Linked DNA regions of Rattus norvegicus. The protein of the gene in region 1 purifies or fractionates together with the protein of each later gene. This does not show direct contact. Links are inferred from orthologs where the notes say so. Each region holds a gene or a part of one and is shown on either strand. Other genes may lie near its edges.

Evidence for each region. Proteins that work in one complex are often made in the same cells at the same time.
Region 2: the proteins of Psmd6 (region 1) and Ube3a purify together in Homo sapiens (affinity purification with mass spectrometry; 4 studies listed by BioGRID). This does not show direct contact. The link is inferred for Rattus norvegicus from reciprocal best matches to the Homo sapiens genes PSMD6 and UBE3A.

The regions. Positions count from the first base shown.
Region 1 is NC_086033.1:13,531,210-13,536,151, forward strand, and holds the start of Psmd6 (26S proteasome non-ATPase regulatory subunit 6), read left to right. Parts: upstream 1-1,465; 5' UTR 1,466-1,542; coding exon 1,543-1,687; intron 1,688-2,224; coding exon 2,225-2,430; intron 2,431-4,942.
Region 2 is NC_086019.1:119,204,390-119,209,636, reverse strand, and holds the start of Ube3a (ubiquitin-protein ligase E3A), read right to left. Parts: upstream 3,490-5,247; 5' UTR 2,984-3,489; intron 2,979-2,983; exon of another isoform or gene 2,893-2,978; intron 2,851-2,892; exon of another isoform or gene 2,453-2,850; intron 1-2,452. UniProt on the Homo sapiens protein: E3 ubiquitin-protein ligase which accepts ubiquitin from an E2 ubiquitin-conjugating enzyme in the form of a thioester and transfers it to its substrates.

The DNA of each region.
Region 1 (4,942 bases):
AGTATGAACCCAGTCTTGAAATATCTCTATACTGGGCTTGATTTAAAGCTCTGGTTCCTCCTGACCTAAACCCATTCACGAATGTCTTAGGATGCTCTCTACAGAACCTCCCTTGTGCAGATTGATGACCAGTATTCATACAAAGTTATAACATTCTGATAACCTAAAAGAGATTACCCCCTCAGCACCAATTCCAGAATGTCTTTGGGTTGTACTCTCCCAAATCAGACACACGGTAGCCATCACATAGAGTGGGACTCCTGGATCCGCATATCCTTCATGGGACATCATATTTCAGAACCCCGAAGAGTTTTAGGCCAGCACAGGAGATCTGCTACAGAAAAAAGCTCAGCTTGTGTTCAAAGGTAAACATCTAGGAGAAGTCTGTGCTTTGATGTGCAATTCAACATCTGAGATGAAAATCCTGGTTTTAAGTTCCCGTGGGTGAGATTTTCTTAGAATAGTCCCTTTACAGTCCTCACAATTGCAGGGCCTAATTAAAGCAGAGGAGAACAAGTCCGTGCAGTGGATGGATTAGTTCTTTTTCTTGCTGTGATAAAATGCCATGACCAAAGCGGCTTCTGAGGTTTGTTTGGCTTGCATTTTCTCAGAGCCCTTAACAGTGAGCTTGCATTTTCTCAGAGCCCTTAACAGGCATGGAAACAGTAGGCTGGAACAAGAACATGGCCGACCACATCTTCCACCACACAGAGAGAACAGACAGTCGGAAATGGGGTGAGGCCAGAAGTTCTCAAAGCCTCTCACCAGTGAGTTACTTCCTACAGCAGGGCTTATACCTTCTGACGGTTCCTTAATGTGTCCAAACAGCACCACCAACGGAGATCATGTGTTCAAATACTGTCCCTCAGGTGGACATTTCTCATTGTTACACCACAGTAGAGTTTATATAACTACTACCCACTCTGAAGACTTCTCCAACTTGTGTACACAAAAATAAATAATGTAAATCATTGAATTAATACTAGGAAACATGGGGTTTTCTTAGAACAGGCAAGACTGTGGATTTTAAAGGTAAATAAAATAGGTTTTACACAGGCCTTGCCATGTAGCTGTTATGTAACCTTAGCCGGTCACTTTTTCAAACCTCTTTATGTCCCAGTTTGCTTGCCTACAATCCGTACCAAAAGAATTCCACCCTAGTTCAAGAGTATTAAAACAAAGATGGCCCTGGACAACTGTTTTTATTATTATTATTATTATTATTATTATTATTATTATGATGATGATGATGATGATGATGATGATGATTATGATTATGATTATGATTATTGATTTTTCTCATCCGTATTGTATTTTCAAACTGTTAGTGCATTTCCAGATCCTCTAAGTTGCAAATGTAACAAGCTCAGACAGCGCCAGGTGTTCCCGCCGGTGTCCAGCAGGGGACGCTGCAGGCGGCGGAGACAGAGACGCGACCGGAAGTCAGGCTGGCGGCTGTGGGTGCTTGCGACGACTCCTCCTGCTTCCGCTGGTGGCCCAGGACTACTCTCAGTTTTCTCAGCTTGCTCTTGTACCGTGACCATGCCGCTAGAAAACCTAGAGGAAGAGGGTCTGCCCAAGAACCCGGATCTGCGCATCGCGCAGCTGCGCTTTCTGCTTAGCCTGCCGGAGCACCGCGGGGACACGGCGGTGCGCGAGGAGCTGATGGCCGCCGTCCGGGAAAACAGTGAGGCCCGCGAGCGCCGAGTCAGCGGCCTAGGCTGGGGCGGACCGGGTGCCTGGCTGGGCGTCCCGTTGGGGCTTTTTGGAGAGCCCTAGGGAGCCCTCCTGGAGCCGAGAGGGACTTGTCTTAGTGGGTTCTTCCTCGCCGCGAGCTGTTCCGGGAAGCCTCGGATGCTTGTGGCGCTTAGACTCCCAGCAAAGGGTCTTGACAGTATGTCTGTCAGTGTTTCACTCTCTGCCAAGGGGCAGTTAGGGTTCTGTCCCTATCAGTACACGTCTAGTAAGTGTCCTTTCCGTGACGTGAGGATTCCTTTGGAACAGGAGCCTACCAGAGCAAACTAAGGATTCCCCTCCTGTGGCCTTAGTAGTGTTCAGCCCTGTAAAGATTGGTTCTCAAGCAGGTCTCCTAGCTCCAAAACCTTAGCTGTGCTCTCCAGGCCCACAGTTGGTAGGCGCCTGCTAGCTGACTTTTGATGGGGTGGGGAAAAAAGCAAGCTGACCCTAACAAGTGACCTCATGGTGCGTGATTTATGGCTTTTAGATATGGCTCCTTATTATGAAGCCTTGTGTAAATCCCTCGACTGGCAGATGGACATGGATCTCCTCAGTAAAATGAAGAAAGCAAACGAGGAAGAGTTGAAACGTCTGGATGAGGAGTTGGAGGATGCAGAGAAGAATCTGGGAGAAAGTGAAATTCGAGATGCAATGATGGCAAAAGCAGAGTACCTCTGTCAGATAGGTGACAAGGTCAGTGGAGATGCTCTGTCCTCTCTGGATAGGTGACAGGGTCTGTGGAGATGCTCTGTCCTCTCTGGATAGGTGACAGGGTCAGTGGAGATGCTCTGTCCTCTCTGGATAGGTGACAAGGTCAGTGGAGGTGCTCTGTCCTCTCTGGATAGGTGACAGGGTCAGTGGAGATGCTCTGTCCACTCTGGATAGGTGACAGGGTCTGTGGAGGTGCTCTGTCCTCTCTGGATAGGTGACAGGATCAGTGGAGATGAGAGTTGCTCCCTCTTTTCTGCAGGTACAGACTCATGTTGTACCTCAGTGCAAATGAGTAATATCTCCATGGATAAATAGAAGGATAATCATATTCACCTGTATTCAAGAGTCAGTACAAAGACAGTAGATACAGGCTAATGCTGCAACATCCAATTCCCTGCTCTTAACAGTAGCAAGGTGTGTATTAGTCTTCATTTCTGCGTCATTAAAAACATGCCTATGAGGCTCTGTGGTTTAAGAGCACATACTGCAGGTCATCTTGGAGAGGACATGAATTTAGTTCCTACCACCCGCATCAAGAAGTTCACAACAGCAGCTCCCAGATGTCTGGTGCCTCTAGCATCCAAGAGCATGTGCATTCATGTACACGTGCCCCCAGACACACATACACATAATATTTCTCCAGAACAAAACAAGGGCACAGAGGTTTTGCCCCTCTGTTTACAACATTGGGGTCATTCTCAGTAGTTCATTTATTTGGTAGGGAAGCATTTACTGTACATCTTAAAAGGTTTACGGTAGGAGGCTAGAGCGATGGCTCAGGGGTTGAGCGTGTTGGTTGCTCGCAAAGAGGACCCAGGTTTGATTCACAGCCTCCAAATACCAGTTTACAGCTCCCTTAATTCCAGTTCTGGGGGATCCCATACCCCTTCTGACCTCTGCTGGCCCCTCCAGGCAAGCATCATCATGCAGACACATGTTTAGGCAGTATATTCATAAAATCAATCTAAAAGATTTTACACTAGTGATACTTATCATTCGGGGGCTGCAGATGTTTGGCTTTCTTGTGTTCTATACCCTGAGAAATAATCAACTCACATAGCTCTTTCATTGTGCAGTTATGCACTGGTGTATGTATGTCCTGTGGGATACGAGCAGTGAATGTGTGTTTGTGTGCATGAGATCACTGTGTGGTCCACGAATCCTCCTCTTCCGTGCCTCTGTCATTGCATCTGGGAGAACGTTGTTAACGTTTCGGCTCCCTGCTGCCCCATGCGCTGTCTGAGTAGCTTGTCTGTTCAGCTGGTCGTGGTGCACAGATTGCTTCAGCTGGATTTGCTTTAACAGCTATAACAGTTGGCTTTTCTTAAACATGTCGCTGTGATGAAAAACATGTTCCTATGTCTCCTTGTGTATATACCATAGTGGTTTGTTCCTTGGTCTTTTGTTTTTTTGTTTTTTTGTTTTGTTTGTTTTTGTTTTTTCCTTTTCTGTGTGTTTTGAGACAGGGTTTCTTTGTGTAGTCTTGGCTGTCTTGGAACTATCTCTGTAGACCAGGCTGGCCTCAAACACACACAGATCTGCTCACCTCTACCTCCCAAGCTCTGGGATCTAAAGGCGTGGGCCATCACTGCCCATATACACTAGTGTTTCTTTAGGATACTGTTCAGTCTGTGAGGTGAAATTGCTGGGAGAGTGAATATTTATTTTCCTGTGTGTGGCCATTAGTTCTGCGTTCCAGTATTTAAAACAGTGTGAGCTCTTGGTTCAGATGGCCTGGGCCATATGCCAGCCTGAACAGTCAGCGTCAGTACTGCAGCTTCAGTCTCCTCAGGTGAGGTGGGTGACGTGCTTCTACCTGATGCTGGGTAAAGATGCAGGGAAAGAGCTTGGAACTGCGCGCCCAAGGAAGGGCTTCAACCGGATACTGTTGTTTTTTAATTTACAACTTTTTTATTTTAAATTTAGTAGTGGTCATTTTAGAAACTTAGAAATAGAGGGGAAAACCCCTGAACAGTAGTATGAGTATGGTTTGCTTTGAAGAGTAGTCAGTATATATGTGCCTGAGTGGCTTGAAGGTTTTGGCTCAGGTCTTGGATTTACTCAGTGTGGCTTAGTCAGCATTGGGTGGCTGTGCTTACGTGTTGATGCTATATTCCTTCTGTGTTGGCTCACAGCATTCTCCCCGAGAGAAAATTCAGTTTTTATCTCTTATTGACTGTTTCTAATGGTTGCAGTGGTTTTATTGTTACTTATATTTATCCATTTTTTGATGCTTAGTTCATTGCAGATGTTTGTGGAGATCCCTTTAAGACAGTCTTGTTATCTTTTAATTCAATCTCATGATTCCCTTTATTTTTGATACATGATGGCATAAATTCACTTACCATTTTAACTTCACTCTGCAAACTTGCAGTCATCCATTTCTCCCCAAATCCCTGGTTGGTTCCTTGGTAAGGAACAGCATTCCGTTCCTGGGTCTGGCTACCAGGCACACCTGCTGCTGTTCTGACAATTCCTTTTACACGTTTCCTTT
Region 2 (5,247 bases), on another chromosome or scaffold:
ATAAAACGCTATATAAAAGGTGCTTTAAGATTTTCAGAAAAACTGGGTATGAAAATTGAAAGACTATTAAGCACTTTACAGTCTTTAATTCTTAAAAATCTGGAATATCTTCACCATCTTGTTTATAGATAAAACCATGTCTCATCGAAAATGAAATCAAGCTCTTACTACAAAGATATTTCTAGGCTGGGTGATGGTAGCCATAACTCTAATCCCAGCACTGGGGAGGCAAAAGCAGGTTCATCTCTGTGAGTTTGAGGCCAGCCTGGTCAACACAGGATAGCGACAGCTACACAAAGAAACCCTGCCTCCAAAAAGAAAAAAAGGAAGGAAGGAGGGAATGAAGGAAAGAGAAGAAAGAAAGAAAAGAAAAAAAAAAAGAAAGTTTGTTTGATTACACATTCTATCACATCTCTGATTGATAACATTTTTTTGAGACAAGTTCTCAACTCTTATTCTAGGCTGACCTAAACCTGGCCACAATCCTTTCTTCAATCTCTCAATTGTTGGGTTTACAGAAGTGAGACATCATGCCTAACATAACATTGTTTTTATTTTTATCAGTAATGAAGTAAAATACTGTCAAAACCAAAACTCTATTATCCTAAACCTTCATATGAAGAGAACATCAAAGACTTTAAAGACTATTTTTATATGACCCTCTGCTCTGATACTTTTTTTGTACTTGAAAGTACTTAGAAGACCATCGGTTAAAATTCAAACCCAGTTGCAAAAATCAGAACACTTGATGTTTTAATAGCTGCATATACATGTAATATAAATCCATTAACAGTAATTTTATCATTAATAACAAACATAAACCTAAGTAGAATAAATGGTAATATACCAGTAACCATTTAAGGTTTTATTTTTTTAAAGGACATTTGAAAAAATCATCTTAAGCCCTTGAACAGAAAAAAATTAGCTATGCCCAATGGAAAAAAAAAAGTTGATAAAAATTGAGAGAAACGATTACAGCAATTTTTGAGGGAAGAGAGATTGACATAAATGTTTAAGATATACAACTGAATAAAATTAACATGTCAGAGAAATTAGTCTCAGATGAAAATTACATTTTCTATTTAAAGCCATAAAAAGGGCAAGTAGCCAGTCCTGGTGGTATACAGTTTTAATTGCAGAACCCTGGAGACAAAGCCAAGAGGAAAGTTACAGGTCATCCAGTGGAGTACCATTAAGACCCTTTCAACAAAAAAAAAAAAAAAGAACGAAAAAATGGTGATGGTGGATATTTCAGAGATTAAAAAAAGCCACCTACAAAACCTGCATGCAAAAGGGATTTTTTTTTTTTTAAACTCATGGTTAAGCTCCTCAGGTATATGAGGAGCAATACCCAAAGAATTACGTGTGTATACCACTCCACAACACACCAATGCAAGGTAAATATTGACACAAATACTTCACAGCTTACTTACATTCTGATTCTGAAAACAAAGCTACAAGTCATCTCATCTTTATTATGTGTTGTATCTTTCTTAAAATATAGACTGCAAATTGATGAAGTTCTCATTTTTATTACAGATTTTGATACATGGCTTTTTTGTAATGCTAAGTATCTATGGATTTACAGTCATACTTAGGCTTATCAGCAATACAGATGCAATATCCATTCCCTTAAAAGTGCAGTAAGCAGATTCTACTTAAGAGAATTTAATACTAAAGCAGTTTCTGTCATACATAACAAGACAAAATTTTCCTTTTATCTCTCCTAAAATCTAAATCTGCATGATTTACCAAAAAAAAAAAAAATCTTAAGTAAAAGTAGTCACTAATCTGGGATGTGACAAAAAAAAAACAAAAAACAAACAAAAACAAAAAACAAAAAAAAAAAAAAAAACACTTGTCATGTCACTTGTCCAACAAGATTTACTAGGTCTTTGAATATTTAGCTTTTTAACAGCTATATTTCTCCCCCACCCCCTGCCCCACAGCTATATTTCTTAAAGTTCAGGCCATCTTCATTTCAAACGCACTTCCTTCTCCAAAGCATTTTAACATAATCTGCTGCTTCTCCCAAAACCCTGGGTTATACGAACATCCTTTGCGACATTAGATAATTGTGGATCACACATCCCATATACTATTTGGTTAACATTTGCAACAGTACACTAGCTACTTAATACAAACCCAAAGAGATTTTGTCTATTTCAGTATCCTCAAAAGACATAAAAAAAAATTGACGTAAAATTGTCTTTAGAGGATTCTAAATGTGAAAAAGTCTTATTAAAATTATATTTTTTATTTTTAAGGCTAACGCAATTATAGCACATTCAACTCTGACTCTTCCAACAAAAAGCCTCCGCATCAAAATGGGGAAAACGTCCTTTTCATTTTCTCAACTGAAAAGGGGGAGGGGAGAAGAGGAGGAGACCAACTGCTTACAGGTTTGCATTTAAAATTAACACAGCAGTTTCTGAGGAATCCAGTAACTCACGTTCAACTACTGAATCCTACCAGACGCAGCACACGAATAAAACCACAGCGCAATCCTTGGGCTTGATGTGCCGCTTCATCCGTCTTCCTTCCAATCCACCCCCTACAATACCCCAACCCACTAAGCACACTTCTAAATATGTCTTCCCCACCAGAGCGCCCCTTTGGAGGAAAAGGACTTCCTTTTGCAGCCTGAAGCCACGGCTGGCTCTCCGATCCCTGCTTAGATGAGGCCCCAATCTCGACGCCCTGCACGTCCGCCCCACCCCGGGCCCACTCGGGTACCCGCGGGTGACAAAACCCTCCCTCTTGCGCTCAGCCAGCACTGACAGTTAAGGCTGCAGCAGCCGCAGCCACCAGGGCCTAGTCCTGGCACCGGCCCCTCCAGACCACGCGCCCAAGCACTCGCTCACGGAGGCGGGTGAGGGCCCAGGCGCCTACCCTGTCAGCGCGGCCTGGAGGGTGACGAGGGGACCGGCGGTACAGACCAGAGGGAGCGCGCCGGGCAGGCCGCGGCCGCAGCAGCACTGACCTGTCCTCGCCCCCGCGCGTGGGCTGCGGCCCTCGCAGCTGCGGCCGCCTCACTGGTCCTTGTCGCCCTCGTCCACCGCCGCCGCCCGCCACCGCCTCGTTCCCTTTCGCTGGCGCCACCGCCGGGTCTCATGCGGGACCCGCGCTTCTCCTCAGGAAACTGAGGCCGGGAGGCCGGGCGCCTGGGCAACCTTGAAGTCGGCGCTGAACGGCTGCTGCCGCGATCTGTCCACGGTGGGGGGCGAGGGTGGCGAGCAACTCCGAAGAGAAGCAGAAGGAGGCGCCACCGTCCGCGACTGGTCGAACGAGGAGAGTCGTGATGAGGCGGTGAACAGCTGCGTGGCCCGGTGCGCGAGCGAACGCAGGAGGGGCGGCGAGGTACTTGCGAAGACGAAAGGCCCTGTCGTCTCCTGTAGTCACCCAAAGAGGAGCGCCACCATCTTGGGAGAAACACGGATCTCGCGAACGAGGACGAGAAGACTAGGTGGGCGGACCGAGTATCCCGACAGGCAGCGCGCGCCACCCTGCCGGCGGAGGGCTCCAAGTCCGGAGGCGGGAGACTAGGCGAGCTCGCGCGTGCGTGGGACGACGACTGTCTCCGCCCCGCCCGGATTGCATCTCTGCAGGGCCCTACTCTAGTTCGCCTTCGCTCTTGGCGCGGGTGCCTTTGGGAAAGGGAGATGGCTTTGGGCTAGGTGGAAGCTGGCCAGCACGGTCGCCATCTTGAGACAGGGCTGAGAGAGGCTTGGTGTTTTTAGCCTATGCTCCTTTTACCCAATCTATAGACCATTGTCTTCGGTGTACTCGGGAGAGCTGACAGGGCTAGCCAGCCGAGGATAGCCTCGGAGTCAGAGGGTCGAATAGGCTGAGAGGGTATTGCCTACTGGCAGAATAAAGAACCTTAGAAGTATTTAGTTGTTATGGCTGACCCCTACGACTTTTTTGCAGGAACCCGAGAGTGAGCAACCTTCCAGTAAACAAGGTCATCCGCTTAGGCCTCTGCCAGGACAGGATTTGTCACTGGTTTACCAAACTAGTAGGTAAAAGCCTAACCAGTGGTGTCTTCCAGTAGATTGTCAACTGAGTGAATCCCTGCTTGATCCCACATGGATAGAGACTAATTTTGATATGCAGAAGACCTGAACTCTTTTAGAGCCATGTGACTTCTTGGTACCAAAGTGATGGTTTACTTAGGTTTTTTGCTGTTGTTGTTGTTGTTGTTAATGGTTTTGACACTCAAATTATTACAGACTGGCTGACACGTTATTTTCTGGCTTGCAACTTTGTAAGCCTTAATCATCTAGTACTCAAAATGTAACAATCACATGTAGCAATGTGCTTTTCTGTTTCTTGCAACTCCTATAAATGGATACATATACATCTCCCCACTATAAACAGCTATTTTTGGGTTTTTTTGTTTGTTTGTTTCTTTGTTTTTCAAAACAATTTCTCTCTGAAGCCCTGGCTGTTCTGGAGCCCACTCTGTAGACCATTCTGGCCTTCAATTCAGAAATTCACCTGCTTCTGCTTTCTGAATGATGGGATTAAAGGCTTGCTATTTTTTAAAACTTAAAAAATAAGCAGGGGCAGGAGGTGTAAACTATTGCACGAAAAATAAGTGCAACTGTTCAGTCAGATTGTAAGATACTTTAAAATTTTTCTATTCTTATTTTTTTTTCTTCATTAAAAATCCTCATTTGGAATACCATTGTATTATATGAAAAGAGCTAGTAACAAATGTAACCTTTTAAAGAGTTATCTTTGCAAATTATTAAAATACAAAACCAAAACGAAGATCATTAGACTACTAAGAAAAGTAAAGTATTGCAGCGGAAAGATGCTTTCAGCTATTCACTTCTAAATAGAAGTTGTCTGGGAAAAAAAGGAAATTTTCTAGTAAGTAATGTGAATTGTCAAAATATAGCCAACACCGCAGAGTTCTAAAAAGCTTAAAAGTTTGAAGGATATAGATATCCAAATGCCAATCAAGTTCTATACGGAGATCGTGGAGAATCCCAATTTATCATACCAAACTGAAAAAATTATTTACTTAACGTTAAATATATATTCTTATATGGGCCTCTGATGATCAGGACTTCATGTATTTCAATTTATTATTTTTAAAATTTAGAAACATTAATGCTAACATAAGGGTGCATGCCTGAAACCCCAACATAGGGAAATCTAGAGTTCTATGGAAGGTCTCACTGTAAAGAGAGACTATCTTAAAGGGAAATGGAGAAAGCAATGATGTTTATGCCAAAA